Linked DNA regions of Caenorhabditis elegans. The protein of the gene in region 1 interacts with the protein of each later gene in a pairwise test. Each region holds a gene or a part of one and is shown on either strand. Other genes may lie near its edges. The genes, in order: gst-24, ZK632.12 and hpo-9.

What was found.
Region 2: the proteins of gst-24 (region 1) and ZK632.12 interact in a two-hybrid assay, tested with the Caenorhabditis elegans proteins (one large-scale study listed by BioGRID).
Region 3: the proteins of gst-24 (region 1) and hpo-9 interact in a two-hybrid assay, tested with the Caenorhabditis elegans proteins (one large-scale study listed by BioGRID).

What each region holds. Positions count from the first base shown.
Region 1 is NC_003280.10:13,609,914-13,613,090, reverse strand, and holds gst-24 (glutathione transferase), read left to right. Parts: upstream 1-1,724; 5' UTR 1,725-1,796; coding exon 1,797-1,935; intron 1,936-2,120; coding exon 2,121-2,611; 3' UTR 2,612-2,648; downstream 2,649-3,177. Other genes in the region: gst-15 (glutathione transferase), read left to right, coding at 1-92, 764-1,260.
Region 2 is NC_003281.10:9,828,901-9,832,930, forward strand, and holds ZK632.12 (uncharacterized protein), read left to right. Parts: upstream 1-1,901; 5' UTR 1,902-1,937; coding exon 1,938-1,953; intron 1,954-2,000; coding exon 2,001-2,393; intron 2,394-2,872; coding exon 2,873-3,081; intron 3,082-3,129; coding exon 3,130-3,270; intron 3,271-3,316; coding exon 3,317-3,358; 3' UTR 3,359-3,523; downstream 3,524-4,030. Other genes in the region: ZK632.11 (uncharacterized protein), read left to right, coding at 1-17, 62-271, 317-712.
Region 3 is NC_003283.11:7,234,398-7,238,961, reverse strand, and holds hpo-9 (BTB/POZ domain-containing protein 9), read left to right. Parts: upstream 1-1,831; 5' UTR 1,832-1,835; coding exon 1,836-1,950; intron 1,951-1,999; coding exon 2,000-2,785; intron 2,786-2,833; coding exon 2,834-3,131; intron 3,132-3,349; coding exon 3,350-3,462; intron 3,463-3,509; coding exon 3,510-3,943; 3' UTR 3,944-4,040; downstream 4,041-4,564. Other genes in the region: Centriolar and ciliogenesis-associated protein hyls-1, read right to left, coding at 451-683, 877-1,031, 1,082-1,252, 1,308-1,404; C05C8.5 (Exonuclease domain-containing protein), read left to right, coding at 4,149-4,236, 4,288-4,425, 4,471-4,564.

The DNA.
Region 1 (3,177 bases):
TCGACAGCTTTTCCATCTCTCGCATACTCCATACGATGATATTCGGATTCCAATGGCCGATACTGAAGGGAAATGGGAGAAAATGAGAGACAGTAAGTTCTTAAAGTGAAATGTGTTGCTTGTAGTTTGTAGTTTGTAGTTTGTAGTTACTGATGCCACACTTAATTTGAAAAAGTTTGAACTAAAAAACATTAAATTTCTTGGCTTTCGGGGAAAAATCTTTTTGTAGTTTGTAGTTTGTAGTTCGTAGTTTGTAGTCTGTAGTTTGTAGTTTTTAATTTGTAGTTTGTAGTTTGTAGGTGCTAGTTTGTAGTTTGTAAAAGGTTTTTTGGTACGAAAGTATTTTGAAAAATTAATTTTTGTCAAAAAAATAGTTTGTTACTTGTAGTCCGTAATTCGTATTATGTAGAATATAGGTTGTAGTTTGTAGTCTGCAGATTGTAGTTTGTAGTTTGTATATTGTAGTTTGTAGTTTGTAGCTTGTAGAAAGGATTAGATATTTCTGTTTTTTTTTCGTATAAATAGAAAGTCACTACATCCAGCTTTAGGGTTTCATAAGATCTTCAGGCGTACGCGCCTACTTTTTGCCTGCCTGCCTACGTGCTCTCCATTGTGACTTCTTGTTTAGCGCAGATTTCAAATATTTGTGTTAAGTATAAAATGTTCGATTACAAACTGAGAGTATGAACACACGATGGCAGACGTAGGCATGTAGGCAAGCGTGCCTACAAAGAAGACCTGCCATAATTAATTCAACTTCCAGAAACCCCATTTGGTCAGCTCCCAGTACTCAACGTTGATGGCTTCGACATCCCCCAATCTGCTGCAATTTGTCGATACCTTGCCAAGAAATTTGGTTATGCCGGAAAAACTCCAGAAGAAGAAGCGTGGGCGGACGCCGTTGTCGACCAATTCAAAGACTTCTCCGTTGCTTTTAAAACACTCCTTTTTGCCACAAGGGCCGGGAAACCAGAAGAAGAAATCCTCAAAATCCGCTACGAGATTTTCAATCCAGCTCGAGATGTCTACTTTATTCTTCTCAATCGAATTCTCAAAAAGAGCAAGTCAGGTTATTTAGTTGGTGATGGGCTCACATGGGCTGATCTAGTTATAGCTGATAATTTGCACAGTCTGGAGAAGCTTCGAGCCATCGATGATGATGATGAAGGACATCAGAATTTGAAAAAGTATAAGGAGAAAATCTATGGAACCCCAGATTTGGAGGATCATATTGCGACGAGAATGGATACAGAAGTCTAAATTTTGAATCGCGTTGAATTTTTAAAAACTGTGATAAAAGATAATAAACATATTGTAGTATTTTATGCGGATATTTTTTTACCGAAATACTTTTTTTTGAAATAATAGTGCGAGAAGTGCAACAGGGCTCCATATGATTTTTCAGTACTTTTGAATTTTTGAAAAAAACAGCTTTTGATGTATTTTCTGAACTTTTTAAAATAATCTTCCGTACAAGTTAGCAAATTTTATTTAATATTTTTTGGTATATTTTATCATGCTAAACAGTTTTATAAAAGAAAAATGAAGCACTTCATATGATTTTTCAGTACTTTTGAATTTTTGAAAAAAAAACAGCTTTTGATGCATTTTCTGAATTTTTCAAAAATTTTTCCAATTTTCTGACTTTTTGTTTTGTGACCAGTGTTTCTTCGCAAAAACACAAACCACTCTTCTATTTCTCTATTTCTCTCACTCTCCCTCCCCTCAATTTCGGAGATTTTCGAAACGACTTTGTGTATATAAAGTACTACTCAATCATCTCCCATCAACAAACAATGCCACAATACAAGCTCTACTATTTCAACCTTCGTGGATGGGCTGAGCCGGCTCGGCAGCTCTTCAAGCTGGCTCACGTCGAGTTTGAGGATGTTCGTATTGAGAATGGAACTCCAGAGTGGGGAGCGTTGAAGCCAAGTGAGTTTTTGAAACATTTTTAGTGGTATTTGTATAACTGTCACGGATTTTGAGAATTTTTTAAAAATCAGATACGGTGGTCCACTCTAAGCCTAAGCCTATGCCTCGGCCTATGACTATACCTAAGCCTAAGCGAAAGCCTAAACCTAAGCCTAAGTCTGAATCCCAACCCAGGAATCTTCCAGAAACCCCATTTGGTCAGCTCCCATTCCTCTCAGTCGATGGCTTCGAAATCCCCCAATCCGCTGCAATTCTCCGCTACCTTGCCAAAAAATTCGGCTACGCTGGAAAAACATCAGAGGAAGAAGCGTGGGTGGATGCAATCGTAGATCAATTCAAAGACTTCGTCACCCCACTACGCCAACTCATCATGGCTCAAAGATCCGGAAATGCGGAGGAAATCGAGCGAATCCAAAAGGAGGTCTTCGCGCCGGCCCGGGATACATTCTTCAAAATTCTTAATGGAATTCTTGAGAAGAGCAAGTCAGGATTCCTAGTCGGAGATGGTGTAACTTGGGCTGATCTGGTGATAGCTGATATTTTGACAACTATGGAGATGCTGGGAGTGTTTGATAAGCACGGAGAGGAGCAGAAGCTTGCAGCGCTCCGTGAGAAGGTTAATGAGATACCGGAGATCAAGGAGCACAACTCGTCGAGACCAGATTCTGTTGTTTGATATATTATGTGTATGTTAATAAAGATTATTATATCATAATGAGTGATTCTAAGGTAGGTAGGCACGCTTTCAGGCTGCCTACCACCTAAAAAAGATGGTTTTGACAGTAGGCAGTAGATCAAACGTATGTCTGTTAGAAGGCAAGTTATCTAGGCACGAGGCAGGTGTAGTTTGCCTTGAAGGCAAGCGGGCAGTCTGTGGCCTACGTAAAGGGTCTAACATAGACAGTAGGCATGGGTGTAGGCACAAAGAAGGCGTAAGTCACACCTGGGGAGTTTGCGATCAAAAGAAACATCCTGCCGTCAAATAAACCTATGCCTGGCTGCATGCCTTCCATACAAGCCTGACTAAATGCCTGCAAGGTAACCTATGTTTATCTGCATACCTACAAGACTGCCTATGCCTGCCTGCAAGCCTATGAAACTTTTGAACTTTTCGACAGAGATCATTCTAGAAATCCCATATTTTCGAACAAAAAAGTCATGTTTGTCATCATTTTTCCTACAAAAGACCATGAATCGTCGCCGCCATATCCAATTACAAATAAATCGAATTATCTTCTGAGA
Region 2 (4,030 bases), on another chromosome or scaffold:
AATCTTCTCTAAATGATGTAAGAACAAATATGTTGTCACTTTAGAAATTACATTTTTATAGCGTGAAGACTTCAAGATTCCACCAAGAGATGTATTTTGCTCAGTTTATCAAGATGAATTGCTGAAAATATTCAAGAAAAGTGAAAAAGCGGAGAAACGAAGAGCCAAATCAACTCCGAAACATAAAAAGTTCGCTAATGAAGATGATGATGATGTTATAGTAATCACAAGTGATGAAATCAAAATTGACAAGTTCAATACTCCGGGAGAAGTAAATTAAATTAAAATAAAAATTCAATATCAGTTACTTTTCCAGGAAGATTCCATTATAATACTCGACGGCTCTGCTTCAACAGAAGAAAAACACCTTTTGACTCCGATTCGAAAAGATGTAAAACTAGGAGAATCGATGTTTGAATTAATCGGAACTCCAGTGTTTGGTAGCTCTCTTCTTACTCCTGTTGCTCCACTTGAAGCGTTTGCCGTCGGAATTCAACCATTTGAAGCAAGAGAAGAACTTACTGGATGCAAGGGAAACTTCAGAAATCTCATGGACAAATTGAAAGAAATCCGCGAAAATAACTTCGTTCCGGAGCCTGAAGAAGAAGTTATTTTGGTTTCAACGAATGAAATTTCGTCGTCGAATAACTCTGGAACTGCTAAGAACAAAAATAATCAGAACAGGAAAAGAAATAGAAGACATGCTAAATGAATTGGCTTTTTGAAAAATCCTTTTGTTGAATTATTGTTGTTGCTTAAAATTGTTGTTGTTGTTCCATATTTTTACGCAAAACTACCATGATAAAACCTTTTTTCTTGATTTTCCAACCTCTCTCTTGTTGTAAATGGTTCCGAATGTCCACAATCTTCTATTTTGGTCATCAATTATATCTTTATCTCTGCGTTTCTTTCACTCTTGCCGCTTTCCGATGGATTGGTGACACACAGCAAATATCGGTTTTCTCAATTTAAACTAAATTGGTCTAATTGGCTTATGTTTAATCAGATTATTTCGAGAAACCTGTGAATATTAAAAAGATGGTATAGGTTTTGAGGGATTTTTTGCCGAATTTATTTTTTAGAAAGTGATGGAATTTTTTATGATTGCAAATTTTTTTAAAAATTATTTAAAAACGAGCTGAATTATTTTTTGAATTCCCGCGCAAACGAATTCCTAAAGTTTCGACGTTTTCAGGTTATATTATTAAGGTTTTTATTAAATTATTGATTCGAAACATAATTTTGTAAAACTTTCATACATTTTTTCCCGCAAAACAAGTTTACATTATTGATTTGAGGCCAGATTTAGAGTTTCAGAGAAGTTCTTTAGATTAACAAAATAAAATAAAAAGAAACCCCAATTAATATAGCCGGAAAAAGCAAAAAATATCGAAATTGTGTAGATCACTTGCGCGGGAATTCAGAAAAAGTTTAGCCTTTTTAATCATTTTTTTTCCAAAATTGAAAAAAATCATTTAAAACAATGTTCAAATTTTGTAATTTTGTTACAGTTATTTTCGGTAAATATATTGAGATTGTTATTGTTAATTAGAAGGAAAACCTACAAAATCTGCTCCCATACCATGCATAACTATATTTAAGATCCGAAATCTTATTCAAAAAAGTAATAAAATTAATTGAAACCTTTTTTCCAGGCCACCAGTTGTTCTTATCATTCATTCGTGACAATTTATTCATTGCATTCTTTTTCTTTCGTTCAGGCAGCGGTCCACTGGCTTGTCCATCCGATTGTTTGCACATAAAGTGTATGATGACTCATCACATTCCTTTTCCCTCTCTTCTTATTCTGTTCTCACTCAAAATAATTTTTTGTTATGATTTTCAACCTTCTTCGTCTCGAACTAAATTTATGAATTTTTTGAAATATTCAAAGTTTTCAGCGGATTCTTTCCATCGTTTCTAAATCACAAAACACAATGGTTGATCGACTTGGTAAGTTTTATTTATTTTCTTTTATAAAATAATTTATTAAATTTTAGTGAATAGTGAAGTGAATTCCCGTCGAATGGCTAACGTAGAACAATGCTTTGGAAAAATGGGAGAACAATTGTCGGTATTCGGACGAGTTCTTGTCGGAGAAGGTGTTCTTGTGAAAATGTGCCGAAAGAAACCGAAGCAACGGCAATTCTTCTTGTTCAATGATATTCTTGTATATGGAAACATTGTGATTTCGAAAAAGCGATATAATAAGCAAAGAATTCTAAGATTGGAAGGTGTACAAGTAGAAGATCTGGAAGACGATGGAATTGAGAAACATGGATGGATTATTAAGACACCTGCAAAATCGTTTGCAGTTTATGCAGCAACTGAAACTGAAAAACGAGAATGGATGTTGCATATTGAGAGATGCGTTACAGATCTCCTTGAAAGAGGTAATACACGAAAATTATTTTCAAAAAATTTCCACCAAAAAATTGCAGAGAAAGTTTGAAACCACCGTAATCTTTAAAGGCGCTTACCATTTTCCGTTTCAAAAAATCTTGTCGTTTCGAGACCGAAAACCGTATTTTTAATGCAACAATCGCAACATTTTTCGTCTAATTAATATTAAGCTTAAATAAGTCTTAGGCGCATTGTGGTCTTTTTATTTAAAAAAATGTTGGCAGCAATGTTCAATTTAATTTATAAATTGTGATGCAAAATTGGTCCATAGATCGACAAGTTACAGTAATTTGTTGTCCGCCTGGCGAGACCCATGCGCCTAAGATAGGTGAAAAATTCTCATATTTAAATGACCAATAATATACGTTCTACAAAAAAATTGGGAATCACCATATCTCTAAATTAAAACGGTTTTTTAGATAAATTATTTTTTTCTATTAAAAATACAATCAAAATTTTCTACTTTCAGGAAATAAGCAAGCCGCGACTGCTCACGCAGCTGTATGGGTTCCCGATGGTGAAGCAGTGAAGTGTATGGTCTGCGGGAAAACTCAATTCAATCTGGTTCAAAGAAGACATCACTGCAGAAATTGTGGACGTGTCGTGTGTGGCGCCTGCTCATCGAGAACATTCCGTATTGACAATGTACATAAGAAGCCTGTCCGAGTTTGTGATCATGTACGGTGAAGTTTGACACTTTATCGTCTAAATATCATGATTTTTCAGTGCTTTGACAGTCTGAGTAGTGCCACACCAGGACAAGAAGAAAGTGAACCAAAAACGGGAAATCGCTTGCACCATGAGGATTCCTCCTCGGATAGTGAAGACGAGGTCAATGGTAGTGGACGATCGAGTAATGAGAGCCGGGTATACTGAATATTGCCTAATCTTTCAATAAACATACAAATTTCAGCCAACATTCTACCGTGAGGACGTTCAGCAGCCGGCAACATAGTTCAACGCATATAAACTACGATGAAAATTCTAAAATCCACGTCCTCATTCCTACTACTAAATTAATATTATATTTTCTTAAACGTTCCTGTGATATACAGCAATTGTACGTATTTTTTTTTGTTGCTTCCAACGACTTTTACAATTCCTGAAAAAAAGTTATTTCCTTTTTCTTCAATTCAAGATTATTCAGAACTGCACAAAATTAAAACGACCACATGACAGAAGGAATCATTTTAATAATCATGAATTACAGAAATGATCAAATTTCTTGTCCTTACAAGAAACAGCGCAATTAACTGAAGTGTTCAGAGAAACGTATGGTCCATTCGGCTTGGAATCATATAAATGTTCTTAAATTATTAAAAGTAAAATAAATGTTTTATTTACATATGATTAGTGAAATCAGAGCACAAAAGTGTGCAATGAAAAATAAATTTTATTTTCTGGAGTACTGTAAGCGGGCACATGGTGTATTGTACGCAGAGTTCTTCGAGTGTTTGCGTATCCACGTTGTTCTCCACGTGGACAAAACGCGCGGCACGTTTACTTTCTGAAAATTCGTTTTATTTTTGCATTACTGTCTTCTTAAAAGCTGAAAATGGCTGCAAACGAAGTGTAAATTTCATAAATTCCTAAGCTTTTATTCATATATATATATATATATATATTT
Region 3 (4,564 bases), on another chromosome or scaffold:
TTTGATTTTTTCAAAAATGTATATAATTTTTTAAAGATTTGAATTTTCCACAAATTTATCCATTTTTTAAAACATATTTTTGTTTTTTTTCCAAATTTTAATTTTTTTTTACTTTTTTTAGATTTTTTAAAAATTGGCATATTTTTGAAAATGTAAAAAAAAACTTTTTAATCTTTTTTTTTTTGGAAATACGATTTTATCAAAATATTTGATTTTTATTCTATTTCATTCAGTCTATATTGTTGGAAATATTTTAATTATTTCGAAAACTTTTTTTTTCCAATATTTTCTTTCTTTTCAAAAATTGGCATTTTTGATACTTTGATTTTTTCAATAATGCCAATACTTTTTAAAGTATTTTAATTTTTTCTAAATCAAAATTATAAATAAAACGTTCTTCCATCGCTACTACACAGTCACGACACTCTCAAACTGAATAAAATGAATTACTTGTAGAAATGATATCTTGTGACCGGATCATATTTTTTTGGTGCTCTTCCTGGTTCAAGTGACAACACATTCCGAGTCCAAACTTCTTTTTCCGGTCGTGAAGATTTTTGAAGCTCTGATTGTTCAGTTTCAGTGCTTAACCCCACGGAAACTGATTCAGCGATATTTTCCTCATCATCCACACTTGATCGTTCTTGTATGTCGCTGCCATCCAGTGATATTGATTTAAGAGTCTGAAAAAATATTTAAAACTTATTTTTTATAAAATAAAATGCACAAACATCTGAATCTTGACGTTCGGTTGGCTCACAGGATTCAATTTTATTATTTTTAGACTTTTTGAACATTTTCCAGCTTAATCTATGGAAAAAATCTTGAATGGAAGTCAGCATTTTTCAACAAAAAAAAAAACGAAAAAGTCAAAACCTCTGTGGCACCATTGCATGTTTCCATTGCACGATGTATGCTTCGCCACGCTCGATCGACCAGAAGGTTTCTCTCAGGATACTCGTTTGAGCTTTCATCGTCGAAATCGCTTTGTAACTCTACATTTTCGTAGATAAACCGTTTTCCTTGTCTTTCTGAAAAAAAATCACAGATTAATTGAAGAAAATCTTAAAACTTAACTCACTTCTAGAAACAATTGGGGACTGAATATTCAGATTTTCGGTTGGAAAATTTCGTTCTTGTCGTATGAATTGAGCGGCTGGATCAACTGATAATGAAGCAAATAGAGATTCATTCATAACGTCTTCATCGGCATCTGACAGACAAAGCTCTCGGTCGAGTAGATTATCAATTTCTGAAGAATACGATCTTTTATATTGGATTTAAATATTTTAGGAAAAAAAACTAACCATTCTTGAAAGTTGCAAATTGGTTTTTGTCATGTATATGGTGACCCATTTGATGAAGAATATCTTCGAGCTCGTTTTCAGTGGTAAAATTTGCCATTTTTCCTTGAAGCCAAATGCTCGATGAAGCGTGTTTTATGAACAAGGAGGAAATGACGTACACGTTAAACTACCCGTAACGTTTTGAAAATATTTTTGAGATTGTCACAATGATCTGATCAGTCACAAGATGGTGGGGTTTTTCTGTAACAACAAACAATATTGTTCGTGCAAAAAAAAAACAAATAAAAAACAAAAAAGCAAACGTGCTCTATTGAACGCCAGAAAGCGCGCCAGGTTCAAATCTTAAAAAAATAGCGCGCGCGGTGCCATTGCAAAACAGTGCGCCCAGATTGCCAAACATGACTCCGCCCATCATTCTCCTTGTTAAAAACTTTTCCGAATTTTCTAATTTTATCCCGAAAAATTAAATTTAAAATAACTTTTTTATTAAAATTCAATAATTAATGATAATGACGGGTTTTCAGGTACATGAGCGATAACCATGCTTTTGGGCGGCCGATTCAAGAAGATGGACGAGGAATTGTCGAAACTATGAGAACAGAATCCGCCGCCATTTCCAATAATTTTAATGCGGTGAATAGCGGTAAGTCTCTAAAAGCAGAAAAATTGACCAAAATTAGCTATTATTTCAGTTAACAAATCTGTTGTACAACATCTTGATGAGCTTTCACAAAGTTTCGATGAGATTTTCACTTCAACAGACCACTCCGATGTAACTCTTGTTCTCGACGATGGAACTGAATTTGCTGCCCATCGTTTGATCTTGGCTGTGAGAAGTAGCTTTTTTCGAGCTATGCTCTATACAGGTTTTCAAGAAAGCCATCAACAGCTTGTGACTCTTCAGGAAACGAATTCAGTAGCCTTCCGAGCTGTTCTTCGGTACATGTACACATCGAAAATCGATTTTGCCGGAGTGGAACTGGATATTTTGCTAGAATATCTCAGTCTGGCACATCGTTATGATTTAATTCAGCTTATGACAGCAATAAGCGAATATTTCAAGGAAATTTTGAAGAATGAGAACTTGTGTAGTATTTTCAATGCTGCATACTTCTTTCAATTCACTGATCTTATAGATTATTGCATGCAATATTCTGATAAACATGCAGATCAGCTTCTCGAAGATCCCAGCTTCAACCGATTATCAGGAGATAGTCTGAAGGAGCTTCTTGCGAGAGATTCATTTTTTGCATTAGAATTGAAGATCTTCAATGCGGTACGTTCATGGCATCAGAATAATCCAACAATGAAAGAAGCATCAAAAGTTTTGCTGGAATTGGTCAGACTTCCCCTTATAACACAAACCGAACTTCTTAATTGTGTAAGACCAACTGGGTTGGTGTCAGCTGATACTCTTCTGGATGCTATAGAAGTTCAAACACAAAGACCACACGAGATTCCATTCAGAGGATGCAAAAGTGAGTTGAATTTTATTTATTTTCTGTTTAATCTATTCCATTTTATAGGCCTCGACACGAATATAATTCCACACTATCCACACGCACAGCCATTGTCACGAGAGCTCAGCAGTCGCTACACTAATGACGAGAATATTAGTGTATTTCAAATTGATCTCGGAAAACCATTCATTATCAATACAATTATGATGGATTTTAACTGGAAAAATGAAGTTCAAGCATTTACATACCAAGTTCACGTTAGTATGGATAATCGAGTTGATGCTCATTGGAATCTAGTTGCTGATTACTCGGAATATGATTGTCGAGGAACACAAAGACTCTTCTTCACAGATTCTGTTGTGCGGTAAGTGATTGATTTTATTGTAAAATCCATTGCATTAATAGTAGAAATTCAAAAACATTTCGGCGGTTTTGGAACTAACGGGCGAAGTTTAATTGATCTATTTTTTATTCATTTTCCGAAACATTTAAAACTTTCGAAAAAAAACTACAGCGCCTATAGTAATTTTCTACAGAAAACCCGTGAAACTCGAAAATTATTCACCATAATTTGCATTTCAGGCATATTTTGATCCGAGTCAACAATTCAATGTCGTGTAAACTGGAAGGAAGTCGAATCGAAGCCATGTTCTCTACCGAAACAATGCCTGTCGAACCTGTGCACAAAGTCATAGGTATCACATTTTGCTGTGGAAATGTAATATAATTTCAATTTTCTCAGTTCCTCATCGAAACATCACAACGATAGAAAATCACGCACGGGTTGTTGAAGGAGTTTCTCGATGTCGGAATGCTCTTATCAACGGGGATTCCTCATCCTACGACTGGGATACTGGATACACGTGTCATCAAATTGGAAGTGGTCTCATCATGATTCAACTTGCTCAGCCCTACATTATATCTTCAATGCGAATTTTGTTATGGAATTGTGATGATCGATTCTACTCGTATTATGTTGCCGTATCGAAGAATCAAGACGAATGGGTTACGATTGTCGACCGCACCAATGAAGAATGTCATGGATGGCAAGAACTCATATTTGATCCTCTTCCAGTTGTGTATATTCGACTTGTTGGTACCCGGAATTCCATAAACGAAGTCTTTCACGTTGTACATCTCGAGGCTCCCTCAAACGTTCCAATTGCCATAAAATAAAACCGGGTTACAGAAATATATATAATGCATTATTTCACTTAAATGTCTGATGAAAAATAAGTTATTAAATTTATTGAATAAAAATGTTAATAATTTCTTTTGAAAAAAAACCACATACACGGACGCCACACACCGAAAATAAATTTATTTTTTTATTTTCTTTATTCTTGAAATTCTAACCGTTTTTTTCAGATTTTTGAGAGGGATGGCGAAGCGAGAACTGAGGAAAAGTCTCAAATCAGAGATAGAAAACCTATTCAAATCACCAGAACAAGCAGAACATGAATTTCAATGTAAGGGGAATAAATAAAAAAATAAATTCCAGGAAAAGAAATTAATTTCAGGTGCAACAAAAAGACGTCGATTAACAAGCTCTGAAAAACCAACCAAGTCTCCTAGTACAAGTAGTGATGATCCATCCAAGCCAAAATTAGAGTTAAGGCTGTCCCGACTAGGTGATGGCCATCGATTAGACTGCGAAAGTAATAATCCACTTTAAAATCCACAATTTTCGCATAGTTTTCCAGCTCTGGCTCAGTTTATTCACTTCAGCATATTTGGATCATCACTCCAAAAGCCCAGATGGGTCAGTCTATCCCATCATAGAAATGTCCTTCAGAA